Linked DNA regions of Schizosaccharomyces pombe. The gene in region 2 interacts genetically with the main gene of each other region. Each region holds a gene or a part of one and is shown on either strand. Other genes may lie near its edges.

What was found.
Region 1: mutations in ser2 (region 2) and pex8 together harm fitness more than expected from each alone (negative genetic interaction), as found in Schizosaccharomyces pombe (one large-scale study listed by BioGRID).

The regions. Positions count from the first base shown.
Region 1 is NC_003424.3:3,910,675-3,919,362, forward strand, and holds the start of pex8 (protein Pex8), read right to left. Parts: upstream 1,950-8,688; 5' UTR 1,931-1,949; coding exon 1,869-1,930; intron 1,827-1,868; coding exon 1,343-1,826; intron 1,291-1,342; coding exon 1,154-1,290; intron 1,111-1,153; coding exon 66-1,110; 3' UTR 1-65. Other genes in the region: SPOM_SPAC323.04 (ATPase), read left to right, coding at 2,099-2,242, 2,423-2,807, 2,870-3,381, 3,428-3,850; eRF1 methyltransferase Mtq2, read right to left, coding at 3,931-4,116, 4,164-4,450, 4,492-4,553, 4,593-4,686, 4,731-4,797; NEDD8-activating enzyme uba5, read right to left, coding at 4,941-5,024, 5,072-5,147, 5,191-5,398, 5,434-5,624, 5,666-5,853, 5,895-6,199, 6,239-6,428, 6,466-6,629 and 2 more; SPOM_SPAC323.07C (MatE family transporter), read right to left, coding at 7,527-8,466, 8,529-8,688.
Region 2 is NC_003423.3:1,863,978-1,874,360, reverse strand, and holds ser2 (phosphoserine phosphatase Ser2), read right to left. Parts: upstream 4,071-10,383; 5' UTR 4,028-4,070; coding exon 3,230-4,027; intron 3,166-3,229; exon of another isoform or gene 3,159-3,165; coding exon 3,060-3,158; 3' UTR 2,612-3,059; downstream 1-2,611. Other genes in the region: F-box protein Pof9, read right to left, coding at 1,041-2,079, 2,150-2,514; SPOM_SPBC3H7.08C (uncharacterized protein), read right to left, coding at 4,518-4,759, 4,920-4,971, 5,041-5,109; palmitoyltransferase Erf2, read left to right, coding at 6,912-7,964; elongator complex subunit Elp6, read left to right, coding at 8,753-8,947, 9,030-9,584; protein tam8, read right to left, coding at 9,608-9,841; trm141 (actin binding methyltransferase), read left to right, coding at 10,175-10,383.

The DNA of each region.
Region 1 (8,688 bases), on a different chromosome or scaffold from region 2:
TCCAATAGCTCAATAGCTTTGGAAAAGAACGGAAAATATTATCCTTCATCTAAATTATAGAGTTTTTAAACTGCACGACCTACGACAATAGATAGCCAAAAGGATAGCAAGGAAGTAGCGTTTTGATAGGGCATTTGACGAATTTGGGAAGATACAAGGAAAATTAAGTCTTCTTTGGTTTCAGTTGAAAATCCTTGAATTGAATTCAAATAATTGGATAAGAATTGCTTTTGAGCAGCAGGAGCAAGAACACTTACTAAACTGATTGAAGCTTTATAAAAAATAAGGGCGTTGTCAAATTCATATCGTATAATTGGCTGAAACCATTTCAATAAAACATCTGTGAAATAATAAGCTATTTCGATGTTATAGTATAACCTTACTCTCGAGCAAAGGATGCTCTTCAGAGAGTCGAGATTCAACGTTTTGGTAAGCAAGAAGAGACACCTAGCATGAACATAAATGTCATTGTCTAGATAGTCTTTTGGAGAGCCCTCATTTAGATTACAAAAAAGACACGCATACAGCGACGCGTAAACATAATGTTTGCATAATGTAGATTCGTCAGATTGAGATATAAGTTTTTCAGCGAAACTAAGACCTAATGATGATATTTCTTTAGCAGTGGAGCTTAACGTTATAACTTTCTCGTTGACTGTTTGCTTTTCTAAACGTCGACATATGAGATTTTGCCAATTATTGATAAAACTCAAAGTTACCAAAACTGGAGAGCCTGATAGCTTTTGTAAGTCTACATATCCCTCGAGTTGAATTGAATCTATAATGGCTTCCCGCACAGTTTCCGAGATAAACTTGGCTGGTTGAGCAACACGACTCAAGCATGTTGTTATTACAAAATCCAATGTAGACCATGATGATGCAACAAAAGAGAATAGATACTCCATATGAAACAAAGTCAAAATAATATACTCACATAAAGATCGGTCTGCAGCCAATACATTGCTTTTACGGTACTGAGATTTTGCCAATGATTCTAAAACCATAATTATTGAGAAAAAATTTTTTTTAACAAACTGATGGTCATTATATTTAGAATCAGAGGAACGACTTTTCCAAGAGGGAATCGCCTTGTCAATTAGAGTTATTAACCTGCATCATTTAGTCTTCCAGAACAGTGAAGTCAAACACTAACCTTTTAATAATGCTGATTTGCTGATAAGTTGATAAGCGTAATAACAGATGGCACAAAACAGCTGTAGGCAAGGAATCCCGCTTGTGTTCAGTATCCAAATAATTGATGAAACCGCTCCAAACAATTTCTTCCCATTTCTGAGACAATTAGTATAAAGTTTTTTGGAGTTCTATATTTACTGCTACTTACCAATAAATGAGGGAGTAACGAAAATGCATCAAAAGAAATATCGCTCGCTGATGAATCGACAGATGCAAAAAGTTGTTGCAGTAAAAAATTGGCTTCAAATCCTGAAAATTGATGCGTTTTTATCTGTTTTGATAAAGCTTTGCTAACTGCTCTTTTCAAGGGGTATTGTAAGTTGACGATATGATCGCAACTCAATAGTTTGTAAAAAACGCAAAGGAGACAAATTCTTCGAAAGCAAAGAATTTCATTGCTTGCATCTACCTCAAGAATGCCTACAATGCTTTTCACGAAGGATGAAAATGGCAAACCGTTATTCGTTACCTTTTTCCTGCTTATCAATTCAACCCAAAATGCAAAGTATTCAGAACGATGCTCATTCCAATAGTCCCATATTCTACCGCAAGCAATCAATTGTGCTACCACCAGTCGAAGGTTCTGTTCATTATGTAAATTGAGTAAGACATAGTGTGTCTCCCATAGGACACTTGGATTGTTAACAAAATGGATTAAAAACCACCGGACTTACGTTTCTAAAGATATCGAGTCCTCTCGTAACAGAAGAAGCACGTTGTTAATGGCTTCTTCCATAATTAAAACGCAGTGTTCTGGAAGCCTTATTATCTTTCGTACGATCACTACCACAGAATCAAACTGCAACTTATAAATTGACTTATACGGAGTTTTCTCATTTCATTAATTACTTTAACAATCACCATATAAGCTGCTGAGCATATAGCGGCGGCCATATCTTGCAGCATGGCGTCTTTTGTCAAATTTGCCAATACGACATTCTTAGATGCGCGATTTCCCCTTTTCAAGAATGTGTCTTTTGAACTAGCTCGAAAGCAAAATTGGGCCATTATTGGAAACACTGGAAGTGGTAGGACTACATTCTTGCGCGTATGTTTTGTAATTTATGCGAAGTGTTTGGAGTAAAAATGCGCTAAAGCTTTAGCAATTCATCAAATTTACTAAATCAGCTTTGTACAATTCATTTTTGTCCCTTAGTCGGAAACCAAACACTTTTTATTATCATTAATTACATGGTAGTAACTTTACTAAATTGCTAACTCAATACAGTGTATACAAGGTTCCTTTACACCCTCACCCTCCACTAGTTTTTCATATCCATTCTTGAAAGGCAAATCTGATAGCCCATGGCAAGCAATCCAATTGCTTGATTTTAAAAGTTCTGGACAGCAGCGTGCCGCATACTACTCTGAAAGATATCATTCCTTTAGAGACAAAGAACATGACACTACATTGGAGAAGTGGCTTTTGGGCGCTTATCGAGGGAATGAGAAGTTTGCTTCTCAACATGTACAAGAGGCCGCATCTATGACTCAGTTATCTCATTTACTTCCTTCGAGTTTAATAAATTTGAGCAATGGACAATCTAGAAGAGCGATGCTTGCATCGAAACTTGTGCAAAGGCCGCAGCTTCTTTTACTTGATGAACCTTACGGTACGCTGGCCACTAAGGGGTGCAATTTATGTTAATACAATTACTAACAGTATTTTTTTTAGCTGGACTTGATGTTACTTCAAGATCTGTTTTGTCTTCACTTTTAGGTGAAATGTCAAACCATTGTTCGCCAAAGATTGTACTTTCCTTACGTCCTCAGGACAAAATTCCCGACTTTATCACACATGTATTGGAATTGAAAAATAAAAAAATCACATATCAAGGGCCCAAGGAACAGTATATTCCTATGACCAGTCACTCAACTAACATACCTGTCAAGCCCCAGATGAAAAAAAGCAAGCCTATTACAATAGGCAAGCCTTTAATTTCCATGGAACATCTCAACTGTGTTTACTGGGGACGAAAAGTACTCTCTGACATAAATTGGACTATTAGAGAAGGAGAAAGATGGGCTTTAACAGGTAGCAATGGAAGCGGTAAAACTACACTTTTAGCATATGTAGTTGGAGACCACCCCAAGTTATTTGCTAGCAATATTAAATTTTTTGGAAAAAGCATTGGGCCCGGCACTGGAATTTCTATATTCGATATCCAAGAAAACATAGGGCATTGTGTAAGTCTATAAAAGTAAATAGTCTTTAAAACTAACGACTTTTTAGTCTCCAGAGATACACAATCATTTCCCGAAGCAACATACATGCTTTGAAGCTCTTCTTAGCGCCTGGAGCACCACCTTTACCATCCCAAAGTTAACCGAAACTCGGTTGGCAGCAATTAGTAGCATCTTAGAGGAATTTGAACTAAAGGATATTAAAGATAAACCATTAAGCAGTATCTCGGTTGGCATGCAGAGATTTATTTTGTTTTGTCGTGCTATTGTCAAACAACCTCGCTTAGTTGTTTTGGACGAGCCTTTCCAGGGAGTAGATACCAAATATGTCCATATGGCGCATAATTACTTAAATGAAAAGCTCTCTCCTTCCCAAGCCATGGTTATAATTTCTCATTACGAAGATGAACTCCCTGCCTGCGTAAATAGAAGGGCTCACATTGATAATGGAAAACTTGTCATACATGCTTGATGATGAACATCCCTATTGAATGTGTATAATTCTTCGACTCCTTTCTAGGATTGTTTTTTGATTGACCCCAAAAATTTGAATTATTCATCCCAAATTGTATTACCAATCCGATAAATTCTTAGAATACTTAGTGTTTCACGCCCAGCTTTTCTTTTTAAAGTCTCATTAACAATAAACCCATCCTTTTGCAATATTTCACAAATAGAGTGTAACTTATTGCGAGCAACTGCAACCATGTAAAATACTCCGTCTTGTGAAAGTATATCCTATCCATAAATGAGTTATTAATGTAAATATAAAGGTCTGACCTTACCTTTAATTGGTTTAACAAAGTGCTAGTGACATCCATACCATCGGTACCACCAGCCCAAGCCGAAGCAATAGTAGCAGCTTCACTTGGTATTTCTTCGAACTCGGTAGGAACATATGGAGGGTTGAATATTAAAATATCAACTCCATTCCCGAGTCTAATTCCGTCAAGGAATGAAGTTTGTACGGTAATGAACAACCCATTATCGTCCTTATACAACTCACGATTATTCAGAGCAGTTATCTTACTAGCACGACACGCAGAATTTGAGATGTCGGACATAAAATGAACTAGACATCAGCATATTATATTTTGTGGTTTGCAACCGTACCAATTGGCTTGTTTTTCAAAATCCCACTTTTTAAAAATGAGGATGCACAGCCAGATCCGCAGCTGCAGGTTAATATCTTCACGATTTAACCAAAAACCTACCCAATTTCCGCTGTTAATAAGTTTTTCATTTCAGCCATTTGGCGCAATTTTTTGGCATCCTTTTCAAGCGCATCGAGCAAAGCAAACGTGTCCTCTAAAAGTGTAATTAGCAAGCTTTTTTGACCTTTTATAACATACCAGCTGGTTCATAAACATCTTGAAATTCTTTTAGACGCAACTGGGATGTAACTGGGGTCGAAAGCATTCGTTCTTACGCGTACCTACTTATTTGAAGAAGGACGTCAGACTGTGGTGCAAATGATATGAGAATGTTTGATTTGGGATAGGAACTTTTGGAATATGATGAATTTTTTTGAAATTTCATTTAATAATAAATACTGATTCTAATTATAATTTAAACGTTTCTGTCCTGCTATGAACACCGTCAAAGACGAATGTATTATTCAAAGGAAGATATTGTTGGGCTAGTAACTAAAGTAAAGTTAGTCCATAATAGTATTTGTATAAATTTTTCATACCTTTATAGTCTCTTGAGCTACAATACCACCTATAAAAGATGATATTGAATGAAGTTCATGACCATCAGCGCGTTCTCTGAAACTATTAGTAAAAAGTCAGAATAAGAAATTTAGCGTACAATTCTTGTATAGCTGTGTAAACAACGTCAAAAAATTTCTCTAATCCAATTTGGGACAAAAATGATTGAGCAACGCTGATTGTTTTAGTTGTATCACTGAACGCTTCTTTGTAATTTTTTCCATGTTTTTCAAGTATTGTATCATATATGCGAAACGCTAAATACCACGGAAGTAAAGAATTTGAGTCAATCGAGGATGATTCGAGAACTACGGTCAGACAAAAGCGAATACTGTTAACGTACCTGAGTTTGATGTAGGTTGATACTCCTCTTTCATTGTTTTGAAATCCATAACCTTTATATTTAAACAATTTCGAGAAAAATGCTTGATTTCTAAATCGGTTATCTCCTCGACTGATCGGTTTAAACGTTTCAGCGTTTGTTGAACGTATTTTTTGAATTTTAAAATATCATTTTCAGATTTTTCTTTGTAGCTGAAATATTAGTAATGGTAAAAGTTAAACAAAAAACGTACATGACCTGTAGCTTTACGTATTGTTGAGTAGAACAATTCATGTCAGGCAATAATCCAGATAGTGGAAGAAATTCTGTCTCATCATAGAACATTTTGAGACAATGCGCCATGATCCAAAAGCTTTCAGAATCTTCCTGAATTTTAACGCAGCGAGTATCGTGTAAAACTTCGTATACGTTGCTTGGCAACTATTTCATATTAATTTATGCGTTCTAAAAAATACAAATACCTTATATTCCTTAAAAGCCTTCCAAGAATTCGATGAAGCCTCTTCGATGTTTTCTGAATCACATTTTCCCTTGTATTCCTCCATTATTTTTCGAAACATAGCACAATCATCAGCTTCTTGTGAATTTTGCGCGTGTGCTGGTGAGACCTTTAATAAGACATGGATGATTAAGACTATATACGGTATTTCTGACAGAGAAGATGAGTCCATATTGTCCAAATCCATTGATTTTACATAATTAATTAGTTCAGGCCACGGGTTTTTCAGACGCAAATCTTGAGGCAATTCTGGTTGTGATTGAGTAGCTAACTTTAGTTAGATATCCCTCTTAAATAGGAACTTACTGGTATATTCATGAGTCGAAATTCGAAGTATGCCGGCAAAGCCAACTGAATTGAAGTGTAGCAGAGGAATCTTGTGCGATCGAAGGTACTCTTCTAAGCGAAAAAGAGGTTTTTCCTTTAAGTTTGAGGATAAGACTACAGAAAATTTTGAAAAATACTCAATGTTTTTATCTATTAAAGCTTCGGGGCTCTACAAACGTTAGAGTATATCGTCCAAACAGCCATACCATCTCTAAATATTCCATTTCGACGTTTGGATTAAGTTGTTGCAACAAAGATGCCGTACAGCGAGCTCTGGATTTTCCTTCTTGGTCGTACTGGATAAAAAAGTTCATTCCATCCATACTGAAATCGACAGAAGTATCATCAACGACAGCAAAAGAGCCAATCCCTATTACGTCTATTTAGTATAATTTCTTTAAAATATCCAATACCTGGCAAAATTAAATTTTTTAAAGCTTCACACCCTACAGTATTTGCATACAAAAGACACACATGCGACTTCTCAATTGCGTTCTGTCCTTCAGCTTTCCAAAGCCGTACTTGTCTATGATTAATAGTAAAGGATTTAATGAGTTTCATACCTATCGTATTTTTGCATTTTCGCAGAAGTTCCCATACTAGTTCAAAAGTATGACAAAACAGCTGGAAGTCGTTACGTGTAAATTACAGGTATGTATGTAGGAAGGAAGAAGGATGTTAATAAGACAGCTTGAACAAAATCTCTACGAAAATATATCAAATGAAATAAAAATAAATTTGGCTTGTAACAATAAAAATGGTAATTAAAGGGAACCGACGATATGACTAGGCCGGCTAAGTTTGATATTCTAAAATTGTGAAGCAAAATGAAACTACTTCCATTAGGGAAATATGGGCTTCTTGAAAACAACTGTTAAACTTCTGTACCTAATCAGCTTTTTTTGAGTATATGGCAATAGTATAGAGTCGGCGTGATAGTGACTCAAATACTCATGAAGAAAGACAAACCAACAATCAAAAAAGTAGAAAAGTCAAATTTTTTTTGGTAATAAGATAAATACTAATTAATTGTTAAGTCTCTAAATTTTTTGCAGAAAAAGGAATGGTAGAAACCAATTGACTACATGTGTAAACTGAATGACAGGCTGACAGGCAAAGATAATCAAACATATATTGTAAGATTGAGAGGATACGTTTTTATCGCGGATGTCTATTAAATAAAGTAATTATTAAAGCGGAAACAAAAGAAGAACGAGAATTCGGCAGTAAAATAGAATATCAAAGGAGTGGCCGAAACGAAAACTTATTAAACGTGGGTCAATCTATGACGAGCTTCTTGAAGAACTCTATGCCAATCAGTATTAAATAGAACAGTGAACTGACAAGTAATTGCGGTGACACTAGACAAAATCATTCCACACCAAATCCCCTTTAGACCGGTATTGAAATATACAACAACAAAAACGGTGACTGGTAAAGCAAACAAGTAGCTTGATCCGATACTAATTAAACCTCCAATATACTGTTTACCAGTGCCACGAAGAAGTCCACCTCCTACAGCATTTAATCCGTCAGTGACAATAAACAAGGACAAGATAGGGAAGATGTCCTTAACGACTGCAAGGACTTCGGGATCACTGGTAAACAAGCTTCCCCAAACGTCTCTAAAACAGAAAATTAAAGACCCATCAAAAATGGATATGCACAAAGCTAGCGAATATGCTACTCGAGAGCAAAGACGAGCTAAGTTGGCTCTTCCTGAACCAATTAAGTGACCCACGCGTGTTGACGAGGCAACAGCAAAAGCGAAGGGAATTTGAAAAAGCAAAGAAGTAGAAGTGAGCAAAATTGACTGGGATGCAAGGGGTGCAGTACCCAAATAACCAGCACCAAGACTAGTCATTTCATAGGCAGCCCACTCAGTAACGATCATCAGCATTCCATGGAAAGAGAAATGTAACATGGGAGATAGATTTTTCAAAGCCTGCCTAGAGAAACCAGGCCACGGGATAGGGGTGGAGGAGAAACAAATATACAATATTAAACAAATGCTTTGAAACCAAAAAGTAGTAGCAACGGCGACTGGAGCACCGAGAAAGCCAAATCCAATTGTGGGATGCCATACAAGAAGGTAATTTAAAAGAATATTGAGAGGAGCAGCAAAGCATAATACATAAGTGATAGGGGTAAATATGCCTTGAGCTTGCAAGTAACGCTTCAATGCCTCAAAAACGGCATATCCAGGTCTAAAAGAATACAGTTAGTGAAAGGAGGAGAGAGAACGGACAAATTTTAATAAAGTACTTACGCAGCCAAGATAAACACTCTCATATAACGACCACACAAATGAGCAACCATAGGATCTTGGTGAAGAAAGATTAGAATATGTTCAAGATTAAGCCAAATCAAAGCTACAGGTATGTGTAAAACAGCCAAAATAAGCAGACATCTTTGTAGGTAGATGGCTA
Region 2 (10,383 bases):
GAAAATTCGCAGTTAAAACAAAAGTGAAGAAAAAGAACAGATAGGGTAAGACAATACAAGCAACACTAGACGAGACAAGACAAGACAAGGCGAAACAATAAGAAAAGGCAAACCACACTCTATATAACTATGAGACTTTATTTACAATCAATCAGTCAACCGACAAAAATATGAAAAAAAGACAATAATGATAAAAGAAAATGACAAAATGCTTATTGAAAGAAACAAAGAACAACGATGATGATGATGATGATGATGAAGGCAAAGAAAAAAAAGTGTTATAATATAGTTGTTAACAAAAATAAATCAGACACTGTGGAATTACAAATAAATCAGTAATACTTGCTAATTGCATGAAAAGGAAAATAGCATCCCGTAATCTTCAATTGCCCTTCAATCAATCCACGATTTTTTAAATCTGGAAATTTTCGCACAACAGATTTCAGGTACAAGGTAGTCAACCCAACAAGAAAAAATCGTCTCTTAAGATCGATTTCTGCCTGAAAATACCGGTTTTCTCGACACCTGGATCTGTAAACAAAACCCCCAAGTTAGGGTCGCCAGAAAAAAATGGGGTGGTTAGGAATATTACAAACCACCAACGCAAACGACAAATAGAGAGCAAGAGCCCAACAAATTTTGACCACCGAGGATTTAATATGAAAATCGGTAACCTTCCTTACAGTCCAAATCAATTAAAAAAAATAATAATGTTTGGTAAAAACTCGTCGTAGTAGCACAGTAACTTAATTCACAGGGGTCAGGAATATAAATTGGTCAATGTGTGTACTTTATGTAATTGCGATACAGGAAGAAGGAAAAAAAATTTTCTCACTTATTTAATCACCGTTGTGTTTTCCTTGTGCTGCTTTTTTTTATAATTGGCTTACCTAGAGGAATTAGTAAAAATAGAGATAAATTCGGAAGTCCGAGGTGGCCGAGATATTTATTTATTTCACTTACTTAGCGGACAAAATAAAATCCTTCTCTAGTGCGCACGCGGAAATTAGCTTACCAAGCAAAGTTGATCACTATTTCACCTAGCCGTCCCTTTCCAAAGTCCGAGTCGCAGGGGCAGCTAAAAAGCGCAACGCTGGAACTCTGGATGGTCGGATGATAGAAAAAGTTGTAATTGGAGGCACATTGACTTCGGGTAAAACAGATTCCGAAATGGCGAGAGCAGCACTTTGCCATCCGCCGGCTGCAACTGAATAGCAAGTTCCTGAAAAGTGAATTTGATGTGGAATGGAAACGATGTTGCGTGCGGTGCGTGGATCAGAAACAATGCTGGGATCAGATGTCTGTTCTTGCAAATGAAGAGAACCCAAACCTAAACACCCACAATAACGTAATTCAACACCCCACGACCATATGGAATGATCGCTTGTTAAGTAAAGATGATGATGATCGCCATGCGCCAATTGCTTAATTCCTCGGTTCTGGAGAAAGTCGTGGATAACCGGGTCATCATCGACCTGCTTGGTATTAGCATGACCCATGTAAACAGTATTGCCATCGTCCGATAAACATGTGAAAGTTTCAAAGCTGCCTGCTAAATGCCAACCTTGATGGGGGTCGTGCGAAGCGAACCTCTTCAATTCTCTTCCTAGCGTGTGTTGTGTAGCTTGGTCCAGGTCTAAACGAAACACGGCGCCTTTTTTCTGAGGTGATGCGACAGTATACACTAGGAATCCTGCGCAGTGAACATAATCGTTCAGCACGAATTCCTTCATCGATGCCTCTGGCTGGAAAAGTTGCGCTTCACTTTCTCGTCCAGTGTGCCAGACAAGAAAGCCAATGCCCGGCACATACGCCGAATGCGAGTCCCAACCTGATTTAAAATTAGCAATTCTTCCGCGATAGGCTGATAGCATATTTTGTTCATCTGTCAAGCAAATTCGTGTTTTTAGAGATACTTGATACAAGTGTCCCGTCTCACCGAGTGCAAGACAAAACTCTCGACCAGCATGGATTTTCACAATTGGCTCTAAATCTCTCATCAATTCGGGCCCAACATTGTTTGGTACCCCCGTAACATATAAATTTCCGTTTTCATTTAATAAATACATCCCATAACCTCTAAATTCCGCATAGGGAATAGTTAGTCATTGTAGTGCAGTCAAATAAATTCCTGTATCTATGCGCTTACCCAACTTGAACCTGAATAGTAGAACGAACGTCCTTCCCAGTCAATGCACCAGGACGATCTCGAGGATACTGATTTGTATTGACGACGCGGCCCAAATAGTTTCTTATCTGTTGCCCCCATGAGTAAGCGTATCCTCGGTCTTTCCATACAGCATAGGGTCTTTTGTAATTATCATCAACAACTGGGACTACATTGGTGAGACCTTGGACCCGTGCACAAAATCGATGCCAAATTGTTTTGTCGTCAAAAACATACGAAAGTGACTTGCATGTTTCTGACAAATGAACTATATCTTTATAATCAAGATATGTACTAATTTCTAGCAATATATCGTAAGAAAGCTCCAGGAATGGTGATTTAGCCATAATGAATCTCGCATGGGTAGTAGTATATGAATACCTCTGAATATATACAAGGGAAACGGTGTTGAAATACGTCAAAAGCACATGTTTTCTGCAACTCTTAATAACTAGATACAATTGTATTATTTACAATTAATAAATGATAATAAAGAAAGGTCTATGAAACGAAGGTGTAGTCATTGCACGAATCAATTTCAAAGTCTATCAGCATAACGAAGCAGATTTAAGAGTAAATGATCGGCTTTATAAAAACCAATTGAGTAATTCTTGTCTGTTTTAAAGAAGAAAGCTTCTGAACTGCCCCTTTTTTTTTAAGCATTCATTGCACACCCTTTCCAATGAAGCATTGATCATACCAAAATTGTAAATTAAGGAAAAAGAAAAATAAGAGTATCAAAAATAAAGAAGTAGGGTATATAAAAGACGGCTCCTACTACAGAAAAAAAGACCACGCGCACAAGTAAAATATTGCTTTATAAAAACCAAGCCACAGTAGCTCAGAGTTCTTGACAGCGCCTTGCGATTGAAAAATTCTTGGAAATTCTAAATTAATTTTTGTTTTCCAATAGCTTTTTTTGTTGTTGCTCATCAATACCCAAGAGGTAAAGAGCGTTTTGCAAAGATGGAAGATTGATTTTCGAATCAGCCTAATTAAAAAAAAAAATCGAGTTAGTAAGATCATTAAAAACATAAATTTGTAAAAAAATTTCGAACATACCAATAATTGAACTTTGGGTTTAGCTTTGAACGCAATTCCTAAACCGGATTCGGCCATCATGACCAAATCGTTAGCTCCGTCCCCAACAGCCATCGTTTCGAGCTTATTTAAACCCAACTCTTCCCTCTTTTCACGCAAAATGGAAGCTTTTCGTTGTCCATCTACAATTGCACCTTGAACTTTTCCAGTGAGGAATTTACCATCATCGGAAAATTCAAGTACATTGGCATATGCATAGTCCAAGTCCAGTTGTCCCTTGACATATTCAGCCATTGGAACAAATCCACCACTAGCGACAACAAGAGTCGCACCCATTTGCTTAAGGCAATGACAAAGCTGTTTAGCTCCTGGAGTGAAAGTAATTTTGCCAATGACTTTATTTATGACATCGACGCTCAACCCTTGTAGTAGAGAAACGCGACGACGAAGTGATTCTTGAAAGTCAATTTCCCCATTCATTGCAAGAGATGTAATCGTAGCAACCTCTTTCTGGATGCCTGCTTCTGCCGCGAGCTCGTCAATACACTCTTGTTGAATCAACGTCGAGTCCATGTCAAATACTACAAGCTTCTTTTTAGTGGAAAATGTTGCTTCACTCAAGCAATTACAGTCTACATTCTCAGTAGCAGAAATGCGGTTACAAGCGTCTTTAGCATCTTCAAACGTTCCTTTAAGTTGGCCTGATACTAAAGTCCACTGTTCCCCCAGAGAACGAGTCTTCCCATCTCTAAACAAGGAGGAAATCTGTTCAAGCACATTTGGACGATTTGAGGAAACAACTATGGCTGCGTTGACCATGCTTATTAAAAGGTATGAGTGGGTTTGCTAAATTTTCTAAGTTGAAAAGCGTTGTTTTCGGCAAGTCCCATTTACTAATTACTCGGCTATTGATTAAGCTTAACGTTAAACGACAACAAGTACTAGGTCAATTTAAGTTATTTGAAAATCTCAAACAAGCTTATTTTTTGTTATTGTTTACAAATTTATCATTATCTTCAAAATGCTGTATAAATTGTGAAGTTGGTAAAGTGGTGCCTAAACTCCGTTTTCAAACACAGGTTAATAAGCAAATATTTTTTTTATACATTAAAGCAATAAAGCAAGAAATCATAACTAAGAAGATGTTTGGAAATATTGCAATATATCAGGGCAAATATTCCAAAAATGAGAGCCTACCATAAAGTAGAGAGTGAGATATTTGTAAAGTGAAAAAGCACTAAAAAAATATTTGGCAATGTAATAATTGTTCTCTTTCATTCCTAAAAGGTTATACACAATTTAATGTGCTTTACTTAGAGAATCGCTCAAGTACCTCTTCTGATACACCTTTAACGGGAAAAGTGCTGTATTGAATAGCAGAAGGTGCCTTTCGAGGTTCTTTACTCCTATCTCCTCGAGGATAATACTTGTAGCTATAATCAAGACTCTCATCACTTTTTCCGCTACTGCTTTTGGTGTCTTCCCAGGGGTGAGCATTTTTTGAAGGAATTCGGACTTGATCTTCATGTTGTACCAACAAGCCCCGCTGTCCTAAAAAACTGTTAGCTACAATCATTTAATTTAAACAATCATATGTAAATGCGCTTGTAAAATAAATATTCTGTAGGAAAATTTTAACAGAATATTAAAATTGAGTATAATGTTTCATTAACTGCGCTGATTTCTAATTTTCTACTAATTTTTAACATACCAAGCATATAACCAGCAACTCCAAAGGTATAAGTCATGACACACCAAGTTATCTAACAGCAAACTGATCAGCTTACGAAATAATCAACTCAATATATTTTTCAAAAAAAAATTGAGCTTACAAATAGTTCTGGATATTCTCTTGACCAGCGAACCAGGCGGTTCGACATAATTGAGCGCATAATTGACATGATGGTTCCAAAAATAAAAAGTTCTTGTTCGCTTGAATAGTTTGATTAATTGTTTCGAGATGGAAAGGATCTAAAATCCTTTTATGATTGTAAATGTCAAAATGAAATACGTAGGCGAACATTCGCAACATTTATGACAAGCATCAATATTTATGGGGATCGCCACCTGACGCAGACAAGACGTAGCAACGGTGCGCATTAAGAGATTCAAATTTGAATGGATAATAATATCATAATAATCACCAACTCCTTCTACTAAAGTGGTGAAAGAAGCAACTTTCCAATATTTCTAGATTTTCCAGCGTTTGCAATCGGGATCGAACCGCCCTTGTATTTATATTGCTTTATACAGTTTTATAATACTTTTCAGATACTACCTCTACCCTTGTATTATACTATAGAATTTGTTAGGACACTTATTTACTAAACTTTTCCTAAGATTATATTTGTAAATAATAAGAAGAGAACACTAAAAAACTTCGCAAACAAATAAAAATGGTTCGTACCATTATAAATAAATATAGTCATTTTTCAAAATTTAGCTGCCATGAGGTTAGTAACTTAATAGTAGTTGCTGACCGCAAATGTTTCTCCAGTAAAGTAGGTCCAATGTACAAGTACGTTTAAAAGCGTCATTGAGATTTTCTAAGGAATAAGAATTTAATTCATTTCCCTTTAAAACAGGAAATAAAACCAAAGGACCGCTTGGAGTCATGCATATTGAGGAATAACAATCTAATTCGATAATCTTGTGAACTACATTTCCACTAAATACAGTGAATGAAGCCAGGATGGTTTTTCTTAGATGTAGATTAGTAATAATTTTTCTTCAAAATTTCATCCATAACTGACCATATACCGTGTTTCTTGAGTTATTTGTTTACAAGCCATAGAGGTTATTGGGTTATTTCGGGGCTAGTGAAAGTATAGAGATGATCCTTTAAATTAGCCCTTTCATTAATAGCTTCGCGATAATCATAATTTCAATAGTTGCAACACTCTAATAAACTTTTAAGATCTTTTTTCGTTGCTTCCGTACCTTCATTTCTAATATTTTCTCAATTACACCCTCCCATTATTTTCCTGCTAGTTATTTAGCCATTTTAAAAAAAAAAAAAAAAAAAAAAAACATAATACACAAGATGAAAATGGTTTACTAGCTAGTCTACTTCCCATGATATTGGTCTTTTATCTTAGTCTTTGGAGTCTTTATCGAGTCATATATTACTAATTTTTCCATATATTATCCACTTTCTTTACAAACCCGAAATTGCACGGATAGTATAATTTATTAAACTTGATTTTTCTAACTTTGAGCCCTGAATTGTTGTACTGACAGGATGTTCCAATTACAGTATCGATGAAATATATTTAAATAAAAAGTTTGAAAAATATAAATACTAATATATTGGCACTCTTAAATAATTTTTTTTACATTTTATTCGTAAAAAAAAAATAAGTACTTTATTTATTATTATTAATTTTATTTCTTCGGTTAGTATTTTTTTTTTTAGCATTTCATTTCATATTCTGTTTTTATTTCCCTTCTCTTTTTAATACACTCTCATCGATTAAATAGGCGCCATTCCAAATATTAGTTATTAGAGTCACATTCTCTAATTGTTTATTTATTTTGATTTCTTTATTTGCTTAGTAAACAAACTTTGGCGGATGCTAATATTTACTTCACCCTCCATCGCAAAAGGGGTTCATATCCTTACCGACAACAAAACTACAAGATATAATACCAGGTGTAAAAATAGCTGTTTCTTTGCCATGTTTGTTGTTTAGAGAATATAATCATGAGCTATGAGAAACACAGTGATGCTAAGGCATCCCGCTACGCGTGGAATCAGCCATGGAATCCATTTGAGGTGACTTTGTCTGATCCAACGTATCCCATGAATTTGGAAGAAAAGAACCAAATTCCTTATAGATTTCAATCCGTTCCTGATGATGTTCCGGAAGTACCGCATATTGAAAGCCGATATAAGAATTTACCAGGAAACAATATCTATTTATGTTGTGGTCGATTGCAAATGTCATCTCAGTACAAAGCTTTCCTCATTAGCTTGTTTGCCTTGATTCTTCCAGGAGTCCTTTTCTTCATCTTTTCTGCTTTTTGGCTCTGGCATCATGTCTCTCCCGCTGTCCCTATTACCTTTGCTTACCTGTATGCCTTAGCCGTTGTTTCCATGTTCAAGTGCTCGACTGCTGATCCAGGAATTCTTCCTAGAAATGCATATTCTTTAACTTATAACCCTGCCCATCCCTGGTCTGTAATTCCTGAAGACCGTAAAGTCCTTGTTGGATCCACTCGGTCTGACTCTGTCTTTGTTAATACAGTTTATTGCCATACGTGCCACTTATATCGTCCTCCACGTGCAAGCCATTGTCATTTATGTGATAATTGTGTTGAATACCTTGATCATCACTGCATTTGGTTAAACACTTGCATTGGTCGTCGAAACTACAGATATTATTTTATTTTTTTGTTATCTGTCGTTCTTTCAGCTTTGTATCTAACTGGATTGGGGTTCTATACTTCTATAGGAAGTTTTCATGAATCCACAGATACAAATTTTGCGGCGCATCTTCGTCGTCCATGGGCTGGCGTATCTTTCTTCCTTGGCATTTATGGGGCACTTGGAGCAATACTTCCTGGCATCCTTTTCTGTTACCAGTGCTATTTAATATCTGTTGGTCAGAATGTTCATGAATACTTACGAGCAAAGAGTACAGAAACTGAAGATGTACATCCTTTTCATGACAGCATATGGCTCAATTTTCTGGTTGTCCTTTGTCGTCCTAAAAATGTGAGTTACGTTCGTCCCACTAGGAAGTCTTACGTGTAATATGCCTTGGCTTCACAAAGAAAATAAGAAATAAAAATTTTTTATTTGCTAGACAATAATGCTCAAATCGCTCACGCATATATGCTACACTCTTTCATCTTCCCCTTACCAATTTACTTTTCAGTACCGAAATTAATTTGGTTTTAATAACCGGAATAAAAAAGATTACTCCCCTCTTCAAAATTTTTACCTGGATAATGTTTTGTTCTTTTTTTTCATCCTTGTCGTCGACCCCTTCAGCTCGCCCTTTGTACTTTACAGAGAACAATGTACAGAAACAAATGTTTATAAAACTATTCCTTGTTCTCACCAATCTCTGGAATTATTAATATTTAATTTGGCTGCTCTCTTTTATTTTTAAAGTAATGCTGCTTGTTTTTATGACTTATATGATAGATAGATGGTTTTACCTCCTTTAGCTAAACCCCTTTCCAGTCTAATTTATTGGGATTTGCTCTTTATTGTTCTTTTTTATTATTATGATTGCCTTTTAGGCAAATCAATGTTCCATAGGTAGATAGTTTTTCTTTTTTTAATGAAATAGCTTATCCACATTTAGAGGATAGTTTTCTGGAAAATAATTTGGTATTAGACTTCTTTAATTTGATACTTGAAACTTCTATAATATTAGAACTAGCTTTGCATTACTGACCGGCTTGTTCATTCTTACTCTGGTTCATGTTGCTCCGTTCCCAGGCTTGTGTTTTCCATTCACCCTCTACAACCATTCGGAAAGCTGGTTACTGTAGTTAGGCTATAAAACTAATGACAAACGGCTCTTAAACCTAATGTCTTCTTTACACGAGCATTTACGCCCCATTCCTGAGCCTTTTTCTTTAACTTTGCTACTGGGAACAAGAGAAACACCTGTCACATTTCTGTTCCATTATTATTTATACCATGCGTTGAAAGCAAAGGAAAGTACTTGTTTTTTAACATTCAGTAAAACCTTAGATGAGCATGCAATTAGTATGCGTAAATGGGTATGTAAAAAGAGGGATTACGATTGCATAAGTGGTTGAATGATAAACTATTCGTATGACTAACCTACTGAACCAATATTAGGGAATGGATATTAAAACGAAAAAAAATTTCTTCTTTATCGATGGCTTCAGCATGCTATTTGCTCCTATTTCCAAGCCTTCGAAGGTACAAGCACCAGAAACCAAAAATCACATCAAATCTGTTTTCGCGCCTGTGATCCAATGTGTGGAGGAAAACGATTTTGAATTTGAAAACTCCACGATCATCATAGAAGATATTGATATTTTACAAAGTACTCATGCTCTCGATTCCACAAAGATTCAGCAGGCAATTTTGGAATTACGAAAATGTTTCAGTAGAGTCATTGTAAACGTGACTTTGGGAGCTCCGTTACCACAACAAAAGTCTTTAGGCTCTTCAATCGGACACATGGCAACTAGATGTATTTCCTGTCGGCCTTTGACTAGCGGTAGCGCTCGACGAATCACCGGATTCCTGCGTCTTTCTCGAATGCCAAATCACTTTCGTAGTGGAATATGCGAGACCCCGGAGGATGATGACAAGGAGCTTTTATACGAGGTAACGGAAGCAGGTGCTAAGGTATATTCCAAAGGGCAGGTGACGCTGCAACTCTAAATTCCTACTTCATCTACTTTTTCTCAATTATCTGCTGCTGCAGTCTCTTCGTCTCCCTTCTTTTCCACTTGTACATTATCTTGCACCCACCGTTTTACTAAAAATGTTCGTTGAGGCCTGGATTCATCTCCTTCTTCATTATCCTCATCATCTTCATTAGAATATGTATCTACAACAACAGGAACCCATTCTCTGCTCCAATGCACTGCTGTTTTTTCATTTTGTTGAGGTTCCACACTTTCTGAAGTCCTATTCATTGTATATTTGTAGAGTTGCGAGTATCACAAGGTGCGCGCGAATTGGTATAGGTGTAGGTTTACAAGGAAGAACAAGACGCTCTCTGCACAGTGTGCATTGATTTGTGAATTTGGAATTAACGAACTAGGTTTGGTTATTTTTTTATTTAAAATAGTGCTTTTTTAATTTAAAAAAAATTGATCGAGCCAGTTTGGTATTCATTGAAGGTTGTAGGGTAAATCGTTGTCATACAAATTTTTTATCGCATTTTTTGGAATAACTACTGGGTTGGGTAATATTTTGAAACATCTTTCATACATATAGAAGACCGTGCTACGAAATTGTTAGGAGATATGAGTGGTATATCAAAATTAAGTGATTTTTGGGTTGAAAAATATAAAAAGGAGTCGAAAAAGTCTTGGGATAAGTTTTACAAGCGAAATGAAACAAGGTTTTTCAAAGATAGACACTGGCTTGATCGTGAATTCGATTGTTATTTTGGATTGCCCGATAAGTTGCCATTGACTATCCTTGAAGTCGGATGCGGTGTTGGAAACCTCGT